2 linked regions of the Lytechinus pictus genome follow. Each later gene encodes a partner of the first gene's protein in a complex. Links are inferred from orthologs where the notes say so. Each region holds a gene or a part of one and is shown on either strand. Other genes may lie near its edges.

What was found.
Region 2: protein lin-54 homolog (region 1) and protein lin-52 homolog share a complex: the UniProt entries of both Homo sapiens proteins name them as parts of the DREAM complex. The link is inferred for Lytechinus pictus from reciprocal best matches to the Homo sapiens genes LIN54 and LIN52.

Annotation. Positions count from the first base shown.
Region 1 is NC_087262.1:10,333,959-10,341,662, reverse strand, and holds the start of protein lin-54 homolog, read right to left. Parts: upstream 3,089-7,704; 5' UTR 2,976-3,088; intron 1-2,975. Other genes in the region: COP9 signalosome complex subunit 4-like, read left to right, coding at 3,297-3,370, 7,180-7,259. UniProt on the Homo sapiens protein: Component of the DREAM complex, a multiprotein complex that can both act as a transcription activator or repressor depending on the context. In G0 phase, the complex binds to more than 800 promoters and is required for repression of E2F target genes.
Region 2 is NC_087251.1:29,398,554-29,405,570, forward strand, and holds the start of protein lin-52 homolog, read right to left. Parts: upstream 3,098-7,017; 5' UTR 3,067-3,097; coding exon of another isoform or gene 3,036-3,066; coding exon 3,011-3,035; coding exon of another isoform or gene 2,983-3,010; exon of another isoform or gene 2,968-2,982; intron 2,811-2,967; coding exon of another isoform or gene 2,712-2,810; exon of another isoform or gene 2,527-2,711; intron 1-2,526. Other genes in the region: probable sodium-coupled neutral amino acid transporter 6, read left to right, coding at 2,712-2,810, 3,149-3,301, 3,744-3,889, 4,632-4,758, 4,946-4,985, 5,869-5,950, 6,774-6,915.

The sequences.
Region 1 (7,704 bases):
ATATCAATGTTTTGTGAAAAATAAAAGAAACTTTAAAATGTCATAACTTTCTTATTTTACATCCAATTTTGATGAAATTTTCAGTGTTATGCTAGTTTGATTTTTCTCTATTTATTCAAATCAACATTTTTCTGGGGTGGACTTGACCTTTAAATCACTTCCATTGAAACATGTACAAATGATTGACAATATTTTTATTTGTGGCAGTTTTACTTTTTTTTTACTAAAAATAGAAAGATTTTATCAACTTTATAATCATCAAAACATTCTTCTTCATAAGCGGTTTAAAGCCCCCTACTCCACTTTCACTATGATTTTAAAAAAAAAATCATTGATTTAAATCACTTCCATTCAAACATGTACAAATGATTGACAATATTTTTATTTGTGGCAGTTTTATTTTTTTCTCCTCAAAATAGAAAGATTTTATCAACTATATATCATCAAAACATTCTCCTTCATAAGCGGTTTAAAGCCCCCTGCTCCACTTTCACTATGATTTTTTAAAAAAATCGTTGATTTAAATCACTTCCATTAAAACATGTACAAATGATTGACAATTTTTTTATTTGTGGCAGTTTTACTTTTTTTTACTCAAAATAGAAATTTTTTATCAACAATATATCATCAAAACATGAATAAATCCTTTATCGCAGTTACCACTTAGCCCCCTACTCCACTTTCACTATGATTTTTTTGTTAAATCATTGATTTAAATCACTTCCATTGAAACATGTACAAGTACAATGTACAACTCCTGGTTTATTGTACTAAAAGAAATAATTCAAATAAACCTGCAACTTTTCCCAATAAGACACAGCTTTGCAAATCAATGATTTAAACAATAACAAAGCTCCAACCATGGCTCAAATACCAAAGGAGGTTTAAATTTGTTTTTTAAATGGAGTTTTTTTTATTAAACACATGATTTTCAGTCCTTAGTTTGAAAATCAAGAATGTTTCTCTTTCAAGAATATGAGTCTCTGAGTCATGGAATTCTTCCAAAGAAACTGATCCTCATTTCATATTTGAATAGGAACACTAACTTATTAGCTGTACCAAGGCAGTTCCTCAACTTGACCAAACCAGTCAGTAGGAGCTAAATACCCGACACGAGAGGATGCGGAAACAGCATCTTCGTCATGACTTTATACAGACCTGCATACATGTATTCTTTATAAATTACATTTTGGCTGGATTTAATTATGAAATAGAAAAGTTAATAATAATTTTAGTTGTGAAATGTATGATTTTTAAAAAGATTTCAGTGTAAGGGTTATATTTTTGGTATTTCCACTTTGTTTTAGAAAATAGTCAAAAAAAAAAAAATCTGATTTGAATAAAAAAAAATTGATTTAAATCAAATAAATCCTATCAATTTATTTTTTTTTTATAAAAAAAATCGCCAACCCTGACAAAATAGATCTAATGACAAACGTTACATGTACATATGATTTTTATTTGATTCAATGGACAATGATGTTTTGGTCCAATTAAATTTAGATCTATGCTTAACTTAATATAAGTGTCCAATATTTGGGTACTTAGTTTTACTCTAAATTATCTAAATTTCTAATTCATTTTTTTTCATAGGAAACTCATACCAAAAAATCTAGGAATTCATACATGCATACGTACTGTAGACCAAAACTTTGGTCTCTGTTATGTTGGTTGTTCCGCTGAACTCTGTAGGCTCCACTCACCAATTACAGAGACCAAAGTTCTAACTCGATCTGTACAGGGACTCAATGGCCATATGTTTATGTATTAAGTTTGGAAAAACCAGGGAAGCTCGAAGTGGCAGTTGCGCGACAGCCGAAGCTTGCGAAGTAGACTATCAAAGTCACTGTTTTTTTCCTTTTGAGTAAGTTTTTTCCCCGTTTTGGTGCATTTCAGGCCAAAACGGAATACTAATCTTTATTTTGGTCCATGAGCCCGTCAGGGGTTTTTGCATTGTTATTTATGTTAACCCCCTAATAATGGCGGCTGCACAATCGCTACCGTCTATTAATCATGGTGACGTGTGTAGAATTAAAACAAAATTTAAAATGTTTAAAAAAGTACTTCTCGAAACAGACGGCTACCAGCTGTCTAACTAGACTAAAACTTAAAAAAAAAGCTTCGGTCTCTGTTACATTTACATGTATGTTGGTTGGTTGGCTCCACTCACCAAATACAGAGACCGAAGTTCTAGCTCGATCTGTACAGAGGACTCGATGGCCATACACTTTATGTTTATGTCTTAAGTTCGGATAAAACAGGGATGTGAAGTTGCGTGACAGCCAAAGTAAGTCACTGTTTTTTTATTTTTCCCCAGTTTTAAGTTTATTTTTCCCCGTTTAGGTGCACTTCAGGCCAAAACGGAATACTAATCTTTATTTAGGTCCAGTTCTTTTTGTATATTTTTAAGAAATAAAGACAAAAATCCATGAGCCCTATCGGGAGGAGTTTGCATTGTTATTTATGTTTACCCTCTAAAGGCTCTATGGCGGCTGCACAATCACGAGCCGTCTTGTGACGTGTGTACGAGGAGAATTAAACAAAATTTAAAATGTTAAAAAAAACTTCTCGAAACAGACGGTTGCCAGCTGTCTAACAACATACATGAAGCATTGTCCTCCATGGTAGACTACAGCATGGAGAGTCTGTGTCCAACAATACACTGGCCAGGCCATGTTTAACCCATGCAGAGGCCGTCAACTACCAGGCAAGACACACTCACTGCCCCGACAAGCACGGCCAAAATTGTCCTCGCGATCGAGTGGGGTCACGGCTTCGATCACAGCGAAGCTCTCCACCCAAGCACCTTTTACGTGGCGAATTGATTTAGTGATGCAGCAATTTTATATCACAGGGCCGTAATAAAACTGCAAATAAACTGATTCATAATAGACCAATCGCTTTGGAACTTTAAAGTACATTTAACCATTTCCATACATGTAATATCAATGAGCTGATGATAAAAAATATCTTACGGTTAATGAGAAAATCCTACTTTAATCGAGGACATCGTTACCATCCATTTGTTCAAAATCACGCGCCGATCAATGGTCTTCTCTCCATTCGGCCTATTGTAATTGTACACTTCGTATTTCGCATACGTTTTTACCACACAACCTCGCATAATAAATAAATATTAAAAAGTGTTATCTAAGAATAAAGTTAGGCACAAATTTGATATAAATAAAATATTTTGCTTTAAAAATGTATTTTATTATTGGCAGAAAACTTTTCTTTATAAGTGTAATTTATCATCACATTATTACATTCTCACAAATTGATCAGTCTCGCTCAACATGGCAGCTTCCATGAAACAACAATTATCGACTCTCTTGAGCGCTGGTGGGGCTCCAAAAGACCTAACAGAAAAGTAAATATCATTTAAGAGTATTCAAAATAGTTTTCAATGTTTGATTTGTCTTCTTTAATAGGAAATTGTTATTTTATGAGTATAATTGATCCCTCCTTTCATCATAGAAGATCGTGGGATTAACATTTTTGTTGTATGCATATACTGTAGTGTAGTCCCACGCATTATATCTTTTGTCAGTATGAGGATACCCATTGCCCATTGGCTCCTCGATCCTCTCATTCACACTTGTTCACTGCAGCCAGGGTGACCAGATTTCACAAAATGAAATACGGGAAAATTGACAAAAAAGATCAACAAAGAAGGCTACACAGTATTCGACTTGTGAAAAAATATAATTAAAGAATTGGAAGGGTGGGTGAACGAAGAATGAAGAAGAGAAAGAAAAGACGAAAGAAAAGAGATAAATTGAGAATAAAGAAAGAAAAAATGAAGGGAAACAAATATAAAAGAATGAAAGAAAGTTAGAATTAAAGAATAATACTTTTAATAGAGAGAAAAAAGGTTTCCGTCATTCTTTGAATTGAATATAGAAAGAAAAGAAAGGAAGGGAAGATGAATAAATGTGTGAAAGACAAAATAAAGGAGAGAGAGAAGAAAAGAATGAAGGAAATAATAATGTTTCCTTTGAAAGAAAGAAACAAAGAAAGAAGAAAAACAGGAAGGGAGGAAGGAGGGTAGGAAGGGAAATAAAGAATAAGGGAAAGAATTAGAAGGAAAGATAAAACAAACAAAGAAAGAAAGAAAGGGAGGAGAGAATGGAAAAAAGAAAATAATGGAAGGAGAGAAAGAACGGAAAGAAAAAGGAGAGGAAAGGAGAAGGAAGCAAATAAAGAAAAGTTTAAGGAAAGAAAGAATGAAGGAAATAAAAATGGAAATTGAATAAAGAAGGAAAGAAAAATGAACAGAGAGAGAGAAAGGATCAGGAAAGAAAGATCGGAAATAAAGATAGATCGAACAAAAAAGGGCAAGCAGGATGGATAGAAGGATGAAAGAAGGATAGAAAAGAAAGAGGAAAAAAGTTCAAACTTCAAGCAAACAAAAACAATCCAATCTATCGAAAATCATAATGATATTTGGTGTTTTTTTTTAAACTTAAATGTTTTAGAAATGAATAAAATTTCAAAGTGAAATATTGTCAACTTAAAATTAGATGAAACGTGGCATCATACATAACAAGACTCAAAACGAAAGCTGAAACACCTAGATCTAGCTATGAAAACTCAATAACTTGTTCCTCCGATTACATCTCCAAATCAGTAATCTGAGAATCCATAATGTAATTATACAAGTTCCCCACCGATTTTGTGTCGTTGTTTGCTCCATTGAGAATCTGCTGCGATCCTACTTGCCTAGCTAGTAGCCTGCCACACACAGGCAGGAGGCCAGTTCGTTTTCAATGTATATGGTTAGCAAGAAAATCACTGCAGAACTTTAAAGTTTAGTTATTGATTTGATTGTTGTCTCTGCTTCGTCATCTGTTGGTTATTTTATGAAAATTCGTCACTTTTAAATGTATTAACTACATTTTGTTCAATATTCTGAAATACGGGACAAATAGGCGTCCCAGGAAGGGTTTGTCAGGACGCCGGGACAAAGCAAATTACGGGATGATCCTGGGAAATATGGGACGTCTGGTCACCCTGACTGCAGCCCCTGCCTGTGGGGAATCTTCATGTAGATCTATGGTATGCCAATGCAGTACACAGCACACACTTTAAAATTTCATTAAAAATATCACTTTTGACTTTGGTCACCCAAAATACTAATTTCCATAGTAACAATACAAATTACAGTTGCAATTTATTTTTCATGATAAAGTAAAATAAAGGGACTAAAGACATTACTCATTGGACTAACTTGGAAATCATTTTTTCATTCACCAGAGCTCTCAAAACCTTGAATTTGGGGCATATTTTGTGTACACCCTCTATTGGTGCATGGTGGAAAGTAAAATTGCAAGAAAATTGTTCTATGCTAGTTTGATTTTTCTCTACTTATTCAAATCAACATTTTTCTGGGGTGGACTTGATCTTTAAGAGCCAAGTTATTGATTTTGATGAATAGTTGTATGGAAACTGACAGTGTCAAAAAATCTAAACATTTTTCCCCAAGAACATGAGAAAATAAGCCAAACATTTGCCAACCTTACTTCACCACACAGGAAATAGTTATAGAGAACAAGGTTCTATCATAACCTTGTTCATTGAATGAGTGCTCATTGTTGAATTTTCTACCGTCAAATTAGTGATTTTGAGACAGAATTTGAGATTATTGTTAGTACGGGAAGCTAAACAACATCAGCTGGGTATCAGCAGAGTAAGGTGACAATGACATGGCTGGGCTCGAGTCATGACAATATGAAATCATTTATTTCAAATGTCATGTATTCCTTGATAAGCTTGATATCTGTTTATAATTCAGGGTGAGGGTCACGATCGTCCCAATTAATTCAGGGTTCAAACCGGGGGGGGGGGGGGGGGGGGTGCACTCAGTATATAATGCGTTGTGGGTATGTGCTGCGGAGGGGACCCCCATTTTTACACTCAAATTTCCGTTCCAAGGCATAGCATTTTTATCTTATTGAGAAAAAGATCAAAGAAAGCCGCTCCAAAGCATAGCATTTTCTTCTTATCGAGAGAAAAGAAGAAAGAAATCCGCTCCAAAGCTTAGCATATTTTTCGTTACGGTGTTCTGGCTGCATTGATCCGCTACAATGTGCTGCAATTTTGGTGAAAAGCGGCCGCAGAGCGCTGTCCGTCCATCGCCTCTGCGCGAGCGCACCCGGCGTCCGTGCTGCCGGGCTAGCTGCATGCACGTATGCCCATTCCATAGGGATGCATTCGCACTCACATGCTGGCGACCCGTTCCAAGGACCCCGTTTTCACAAACATTTATAGTTCCGAAGCCTGTTCCGAGGACCCTCCTTTTTACAATAAGCCCGCTCTAAAGGTTTTTGTCTCGCCCGCGGCACATACCTACCACTTTTTTAGTCGAGTACCCCCCAGGGTTCAAAGGGTTAAGCACGGGTGTGGAGGGGGGGCAAGCCAGAAGTTTATTAAGAAACAGAAATATTGGGGGGGGGGAATCTACTGGAAATGATGAGTACTGCCCCTTTGACATGTCCGTTTACAACTTCCAGACATGGAGCCCTATGAACCTATTGATGGCTAATTTTGCTCACCCATTTTTTTTACGCCCTGCTTGAAAACTTGGACACCCAATTCTAAAATCCTGGCTAAAGCCCTGCTGGGCCTGATCCCTACCCAATACTTTTTCCTTCTAAATCTTAAGTTTTCTTTCATAAAATAATACTTCTACCAATGTTATAATATTGGTCAAATTTGTTAGCATGCCCAACCGCCATTAAATCCACCAGACCAAATAGATATTTAGTAAATTTTCTTGTTTTCATTGTCAAATTGTTACTACTAATTTGGACGGATTATAAGCTATTATTAAATTTCCAATGAAAATATGAATATTAACACTGGTCATCAAGATGGGATTCCAACCTATGCTAAGACATTGAAATGAAGAGAGGTTTGCCGGGCATATTTGCTAATATTACCAACATATTTGTCTATTTTATTGCAAGGTTCGATCGTAACGAAATTGATCTCGATATTTTGTAAGTATGACATCTTGAAATGTACTGCCATGTTTTATATTGTAGTTGTAGTTCGACAAATCACATCAGGTCATGTAAGTTACAATTGAATCCTTTAAATTTGATGACACATTATCATTGGTAATGATTCAATCAGATAATGATAATGAACATTTTCCTATATTTTTATCACGTGCAGATATCGTAAAATCCTAACCGATATTCTACAGCTTGGTGAAGATGACCTAGTAAACGGACTGCAGTTCTTCATTGAAACAAGTACGTAGATTCCTATTTCTAATTAAAAAAAAAAATTTAAGGGAAAATTCTGTTGGGAGGAGGTATTGGAATAATAAGTATGAGCTTTCAAGAACTACCTCGTGTTATTTAACCCTTAACGTGCTATGAACACATATCTGTGCATCCACTGGAGTGCCACAAACACATTTTCGTGCAATGGTCATACAGCTATTGTTATGCCTATTGCATTTTGAGGAGTGCATTGCATGCATGAGTGATTCCATTGTTCAGTTTAGCTTATGGTCAAGAGGTTTAACATAATTGTCTCATGAGTGATTCTCTTTTTTATAAATAAAACATTTAAATATAGACTCTGAAAAAAAAGTGGCACTCGCTGATTACAGTGAATGGCACATTAAGATTAAGAGTTAAAAAGGATATAAGAGTAAAAAGGTCCACTGCAGAGGATTGCGTTTCAGTTGCC
Region 2 (7,017 bases), on another chromosome or scaffold:
CAGACTGCAGGTCCCAAGAAAGTGGCTTCTTTCATCCAAGTGATATTCATGACTTGAGATGTTTTGCATATTTAATGAGCTTGATGCGGACCAAAACACCTCTTTTCATTCGGTCATTGCTGCTCTAATTGTGCATCGAATTTCATGAATTTGGTACCATTGTAAAGAAGAAGAATCATTTTTTCAGGTCATGTGTTTGGATTTATTCAAAGATTTTGTAATATAGGTTAAAATTTTGATCTAAAATAATATGCTACAAAATAAATATTTTCACCTGACAAAAGCTGCTATTTTCACACTTTATTTTTGTTTGAGCCCAAATGATTTTTATATCACGATAAAGCTGAATATGTATGCTTTGAAATGATATAGGCTTCAAAATAAGAATTGGTTTAATCGGGTCAAGACCACACTTTTCATTTGCCAAGTACATAAAGCAGCTTGAAAACAAGAATACTGCATTCTGATTGGTCAAAGAGACCGCACACTGGCAAATTCCAACGGTTCCAGTGCCTGGGTTCGTGGGAAGGTCACACTTCCCATGTGGTAATCTCCTCAAATACCCTGCGCCTGTTGTTCTGTGACTCTTATCCAGCCAATCGGAACTCTGGATTTCATGCAAGTACAAAATTTCTGAAATCTCGTCTTGTACCTTGGTGGGAAAAGTGTGATCTTGACCCGATTAAAAGGTGCTGCATATCAAAAGTGGCATTGTGAGAAAGTACAGAAGTTCAGCTTTATGTTGATATAAATATCATAGAGGCTCAAAATAAAAAGTTTTGCGCAATTTGCAAAAGAAAACAGAGGAAGAAAATTCAGTTTTGAGGCACATTTTCAGGCCAGAAATTTACTTATTTAACAAAATATTGTATACAAAATAAATGACCAATATGAAAGAGTAACTTTTACTCTATCTGATGGTGCAATAATATTTCATTTAACTTGAGGTTAAAACAGGTAAATTCTTAGAGAAAGAAAATCTCACGAATCACAAGATTTTGCAAGGAGGAGGATTCAGCCACGAGATGATTTGGATGAATCTGGCCTTTTTGCTCATTAGCATAGGGACCTGCGGTCTGACTGTAAACTATTTCATCACTGCCATTTGCCATAATCTTCCTGGCAATCATCACTCCTGTGTATTGTAATGATGTATGTTTTGGGGTATTGATTTTATGTTTATATAGTAATTCTGCCTGAAACTAAGATTTCATCAATAGGTTGATATGTGTGTTTGACATAAACAATATATGCATACAGTTTTCGTAATTTGTTCCAATTAAAATCATTGATTTATTTAAAAGCTGGCATTTGAAGATAACTCTTGAAAAAGGCCACAAATCCATTTACCGTCAGTGACTGTATACTAGCACATCAATGATGTGGAGCTCATCCTGCATCTCGCAGCGAAATTTAACACAATTTTAATTTCAGCCCAGTTGACACTTTAGTGAATTATATTGGTGACATACGGTAAATTGAGGATATAGAATTGAAATTGATGAAGAAATGGCATAGAAGCATTTTTTGCAATCTATGAATAAATTTCATATAAATTAAGCAAAAATAATTTTCTCGTCAAAATTTCTGAACTCTGTGTAGTACCTTGGTGAACCTCATGTAGCTCTCAGATGGAACAAAAATAATCAAAATCAATCAACAAATAAATAAGTATTTTTTGTGAGTTTTGAAAATATATGAATAAATTAGCATATTGAATGAGTTTCAAAATTCTGTGTTGAAATTTTGAATCACCACCTTGAGCTATCATATAAAGCAAAAAAAATTGAAATTGATCAACAAATGAAGAAGAAAAAACATTTTTTGTGTTTATGAATAAATTTTGCATAAATTAGCATAAATAATTTTCTAGACAAAATTTCAAAATTTTGTGTACAAGTTTGGTGAACCTCATGCAGCTCTACCAGATTGAAGAAAAAAAATCAAAATCGGTCAACAGAAAATCATATATATCATCATACTTGAAATGACAGAGAAGAAACATTTTGAAATTTAGTCAACAAATAAAGAAGAGGCATTTTCTGTGATGTATGAATTTCATATCAACTGATATTACGACTAGTCTACTCTCCAAGAGTATTGGGCTGGGCATTTATTTTTCTGACTAAATAAACCGATGCCATTGGGAATTACACACGCTCGAAATTTTGACGGAATAAAGCCATATTTTGGTATGTATCCAACTTTTCCTTCTTAAATCTCTTAGATACATGTTAGATAATTCTTGATAAACCTTCTCCATATTTTTTTCTTTTTCAATTTTAGTGGAGGGGACATATGGAAGTCTTGCCGTTTCAACCTTCTTTTATTCGGTTATCTTTTTTTCCCCTTCATTTTTTTCCTCTCATTTCTCAATTCATCTCTTTTCTTTCTCTCCTTCATTTTTTCATTTACCCTCCCTTCCTTTTTTTTAAATTTGTTACAATTTTAACTCAAAACTAAAGTCGGCTAGAGCTAACTTACTTAGCCTAGCCCAATGAGTGGCCTAGGCTCTAGCCCTTCTTTGAGTTTGACTTTGTTCATTTAAAAAAAAAATTAAAATCAAGACAAGGACTGCATGGCTCAGTCGATCCGCTCGTGCATTGTGCTTTGTCGATTGTCCCGTATTTCATTTGTGAAATCTGGTCACCCTGGTTTTACTGGCCATTCTGTATGCATATGGATACGAAAGTGCATTTCCACCAAATATCATGAAAGCAAGCTGCTGGTACAGCCAGGGTAACTTTAAAGGCAGGAGCTCGCCGAACAGTCACCGGAGCGGAGCGTGGTGGTCTGCAGAAAAGCTTACGGTATTCATTCACACACACTCACGATCACGGCAATCGCAACAACACCACAATGTCAAAAGACTGTACTTTTAAGATGACAATATACACATTTTATTTTAAGATAATTCCAATTACCTTCATATTATACTCAAGTAAAAAATTAACCCAACATTACACCCTGAAAGTTAGAACAATGGTAAGAAGAAAAAAATTAAATTTACCCGCACTGCCGGCTGGTGACGCCATTTTCACAAGAGCCCTCTACCGTTCATTTCAGGTACAATGTTTATATTTTCGTTGATATTGAATGAATGAATAAAGTTAAGTGCTGTGCAGTTAATAGTATACCTTTAATTTAGCATTTTAGGCTTTTTAGTAGAAAAGAAATGGAGCCAAAATGTCATCGCTTAGGCGGGAGCTGTGTAGAAGATGCAGATGAACAATCAAACAACATAGTATACCATGGTATTATGGATGATACACCTTTATTACCTTCAGCTTCTGTGCAGCAGGCAAGTCAAGTAACAACAACATGCAAGTTGCAACACAAAACATGAAAATTGATGTACTACTAGTACTAGTCCCTTTGTGTGACTACCGTAGTCATCAATCCAAACAATTCATCAATCGTCATCATGCATGATCGTACTACTAAGTTTATAATGAAATGTTTTTGTTTTCTTCATGTTTGTGTTTTTTATGTATGAAGATAATAATGCAGAGTAATTTTTTATGAGTGGTTATATTTGTGTATATTTTTGTATCAAGGGCCTGAATTAACAGGCTACTCTCGATAAACATTTGCAATAAATAAATAAATGAATAGATCTAATAACGCTTTTACATCCTGGCCCATCCTTGCTAGTCACTAATATAGACACTTGCCATCCCGTACGTGCTACCTTCCCTTCTATCTCTCTTTAAAAAGTTTATTGGTAATCTTTTTTTCTACAGGAGGCAATGACGGAAAGAGTGGAACCTTTTACATCAGGGAAGACATCTTTTGGACTATCAGTTTTCAATTTGATGAACGCTATATTAGGGAGTGGGATCTTGGGCTTACCCTATGCAATGGCACAATCTGGTATTATCCTCTTCAGGTATTACACATTTGATCCATTTCATGAAAGTTTGAAGCTATGGGGGCCAAGTTTCACCACCAAGCAAAAAAAAAAGGGAAAAAAAGGGAAGTGCAAAGCGTGAAATATGATATTATTTTTTTCTAATTATACAGAGGGAGTCAATCCTGATTTCAAGTTCTTCATGAAAATATAATTGATAATCAAGTTGTATATGTGAACGTGTAAGATCAGGCAAAATGTAACTTTTTGAAAATGACCTTGGTCATCAGATGAAGTGTTACTAACACCATTTGATATCTCTTTCTCAATGACAATTAGCCCAAGTGGGAATTAGACCAAGTGGCAATTGGAGTGATTGGACCAAATGGCCATTGAACCTGATTGTTAGTATAATATTAGGTTACACTAGGAATTACCTCTTTCAGCATCAATTATGGTGGCAGCGGTGGGATGAACACCCATAAAATGATAAATGCCTCTCAGAAATATGCAGATGCATGTGTTATTTGTCAATTGTAATTATTTGTTATATATGTTCTTGTAAATTGGATTTATACTTTGAAATGTTAAATTGAATAATAATGTTGATCATGACATTGATGATGATAATGATGATGGCATTTATGATGATCAAAATATTCATTATGATAATATGGCAGGTTATGAAGTGTATCTTAATTTACATTCAAGACAATGAAATTTATCAGGGGATGAAGATAGACCAAGTATTTTTAATGATTATTATTGTCCTTTTCCATAGTGTGATGCTGTTGCTTGTCGCTGTCATGGCAAACTACACAATCCACCTCCTTCTGAAGATGTGTGACATCACAGGTCATAGGTCATATGAAGATATAGGGAACAGTGCAATGGGTGTCCCAGGCAAGGTAAGCTTTTAGTCCCTTACTATTTGAGTAAATGTTATGTTCATATTTTAGTGTCATGTCTTAGTTTAGTGCACTCTCTTGATAAAACCCCTCCTTTTATTTTCTGACTATCTGTCTCATTTCCTTCCCTATTTATGAAACTGTATTAAAATAAATTCAATGAGAATTTTTGTCGATTTTGTTATAGCTAATGGCAGCTTCTGCTATACTCCTTCAAAATGTTGGTGGTGAGTAGAGGATCTAATATTTAGTTCTTGTATTATTATTATTATTATTATTTTTATAATTATAATTATTATTATTATTATCTTCATCATCATTATTAATATTATTATTATTAGTAGTAGTATTATTACTATTATTATTATCATCATAATCATCATCATATCAGTAGTAATATTAATTAGGGGTGATTTACTCCATTATTAATGATGAGTGATGAGTCTATTACAATTAACTTTCCTCTTTGTAATATGATTTACTCCGATGTAATTAAGATAAACCTCAAGGTGGTTTGCTGGAGGCATTATGTTTTAGGGTCATCTGTCCTTCCACCTTTTCATCCTCAAGAAAACCATATGATTTTACGGGTCAATTTCAAACTTAGCTCATGAATAAATGGGTATTTAGGAAAGTGGACTAATAAATAAATCACTAAGACAAATACCTTAAAAGCAATTAACCTGGTAAAAAGAATTGAGTTCAATACTGATGATGGTAGGGGCTTATAATATATTTTTATCCTTCATTTGAATGCTAGTATTGATGGGCTAGATTCCAATTTAAAAGGAATGGTATATTTCAGTGTTTCTTGAAATTCTATAACTTTAAAAAGGGAAACAAAAGATTATCAACATTTTTTAGTGTATTGTCTGCATACATATTGACAGAAAATATTGATTGAATAATGTTTGCCAAATGCCTTTGAAATAAGAATAGTTTGTATTTAGAAGTAAACTATCAAGATATTTTGTGATAAAAATATAATGACCAATGTCACAAATTCTGTGATTACTTATGTCATCACTATCAGTCATTTGATTAGAACTTGAAAGTACAATATTTTATATTAAATTTTACTTAGTAATGTTATTTTGTCTATCCTCCCAGCTATGTCAAGTTATCTATTTATTGTAAAGAATGAGATGCCAGCAGTTCTCAAGACGTTCCTACATGAAGACCAGACTGCAAAGTAAGTGTCTTGTCAAGTATTCATAAATTTTAAAGTTGTAATTGTTATTTTCATCATATTTTTGATCAATCTCAATTTTCATAATGTCAAATTGCCTCTGAGGCAGGTTATTATGAACATTGATGTACTAATAGCATTGAAAATATGCACCCCTCACCCGGAAATCAAAAATTTTCACTGGCAAAAGCATAACATGCAGATTTTTCATGCAGTGCATGTACAACAAAATCAAAATGCCTTCTTACTTGAATATAGAATATGCATGTATTCATTAAATGAACTTTATGTTTATATGAAATTAATTGTTTTGCCTGCGGCTACAGAGATCATCATCAAAATCTTAACCAAGGTTAAAATTTGAAATTTCATCATAACATAGAAATCAAATTATTTATATTTCATAAAACTTGGACATCACTCATCATTTGTATTAATTTCAAGTCACATAATCAAGTTCAAAGTTAATTATTTAGAACCAGGCCAATAATACATTGACTTCAATAGGGCTAATTCAGTATTCATGTGCAGGGACTGCGGAACGGTTTTTAAAGAGGGGGGGGGGGGGGTTGACTATGCAAAAAAACATAATCAGATGGTAATTTTTACGTTTTTGTACACGTTTTGGAAAAAAGTGCGGGGCCTCGAGGCCCCCCGTTTCCGCGGCCCCTGATGTGGTCATATCTTGGGCCCCGTTGAACCAATTCCTAGCAAATTTTAGCTGTCATGCACCTCCAAGATATGACATGAGAAACAATGAAATGCAAAATTTGTATTTTCATCATGTCACACTTCAGTACTCTATTACACTCCTAATTCAATGCAGTGAATGGTATGTAAATGGTGACTATTTGGTCCTACTCCTTGTGTTATTGGTCATCCTCCCCCTGGCTTGCCTGCCAAAGATCGGTTTCCTTGGTTACACCAGTGCCTTCTCCATTCTATGTATGGTCTTCTTCACAGTGGGGGTGAGTTGATGATGATGATGATGGTGATGATGATGGTGGTGATGGTGGTGATGATGCTCGTGATGATGATGATGATGATGATGATGATGATGATGATGATGA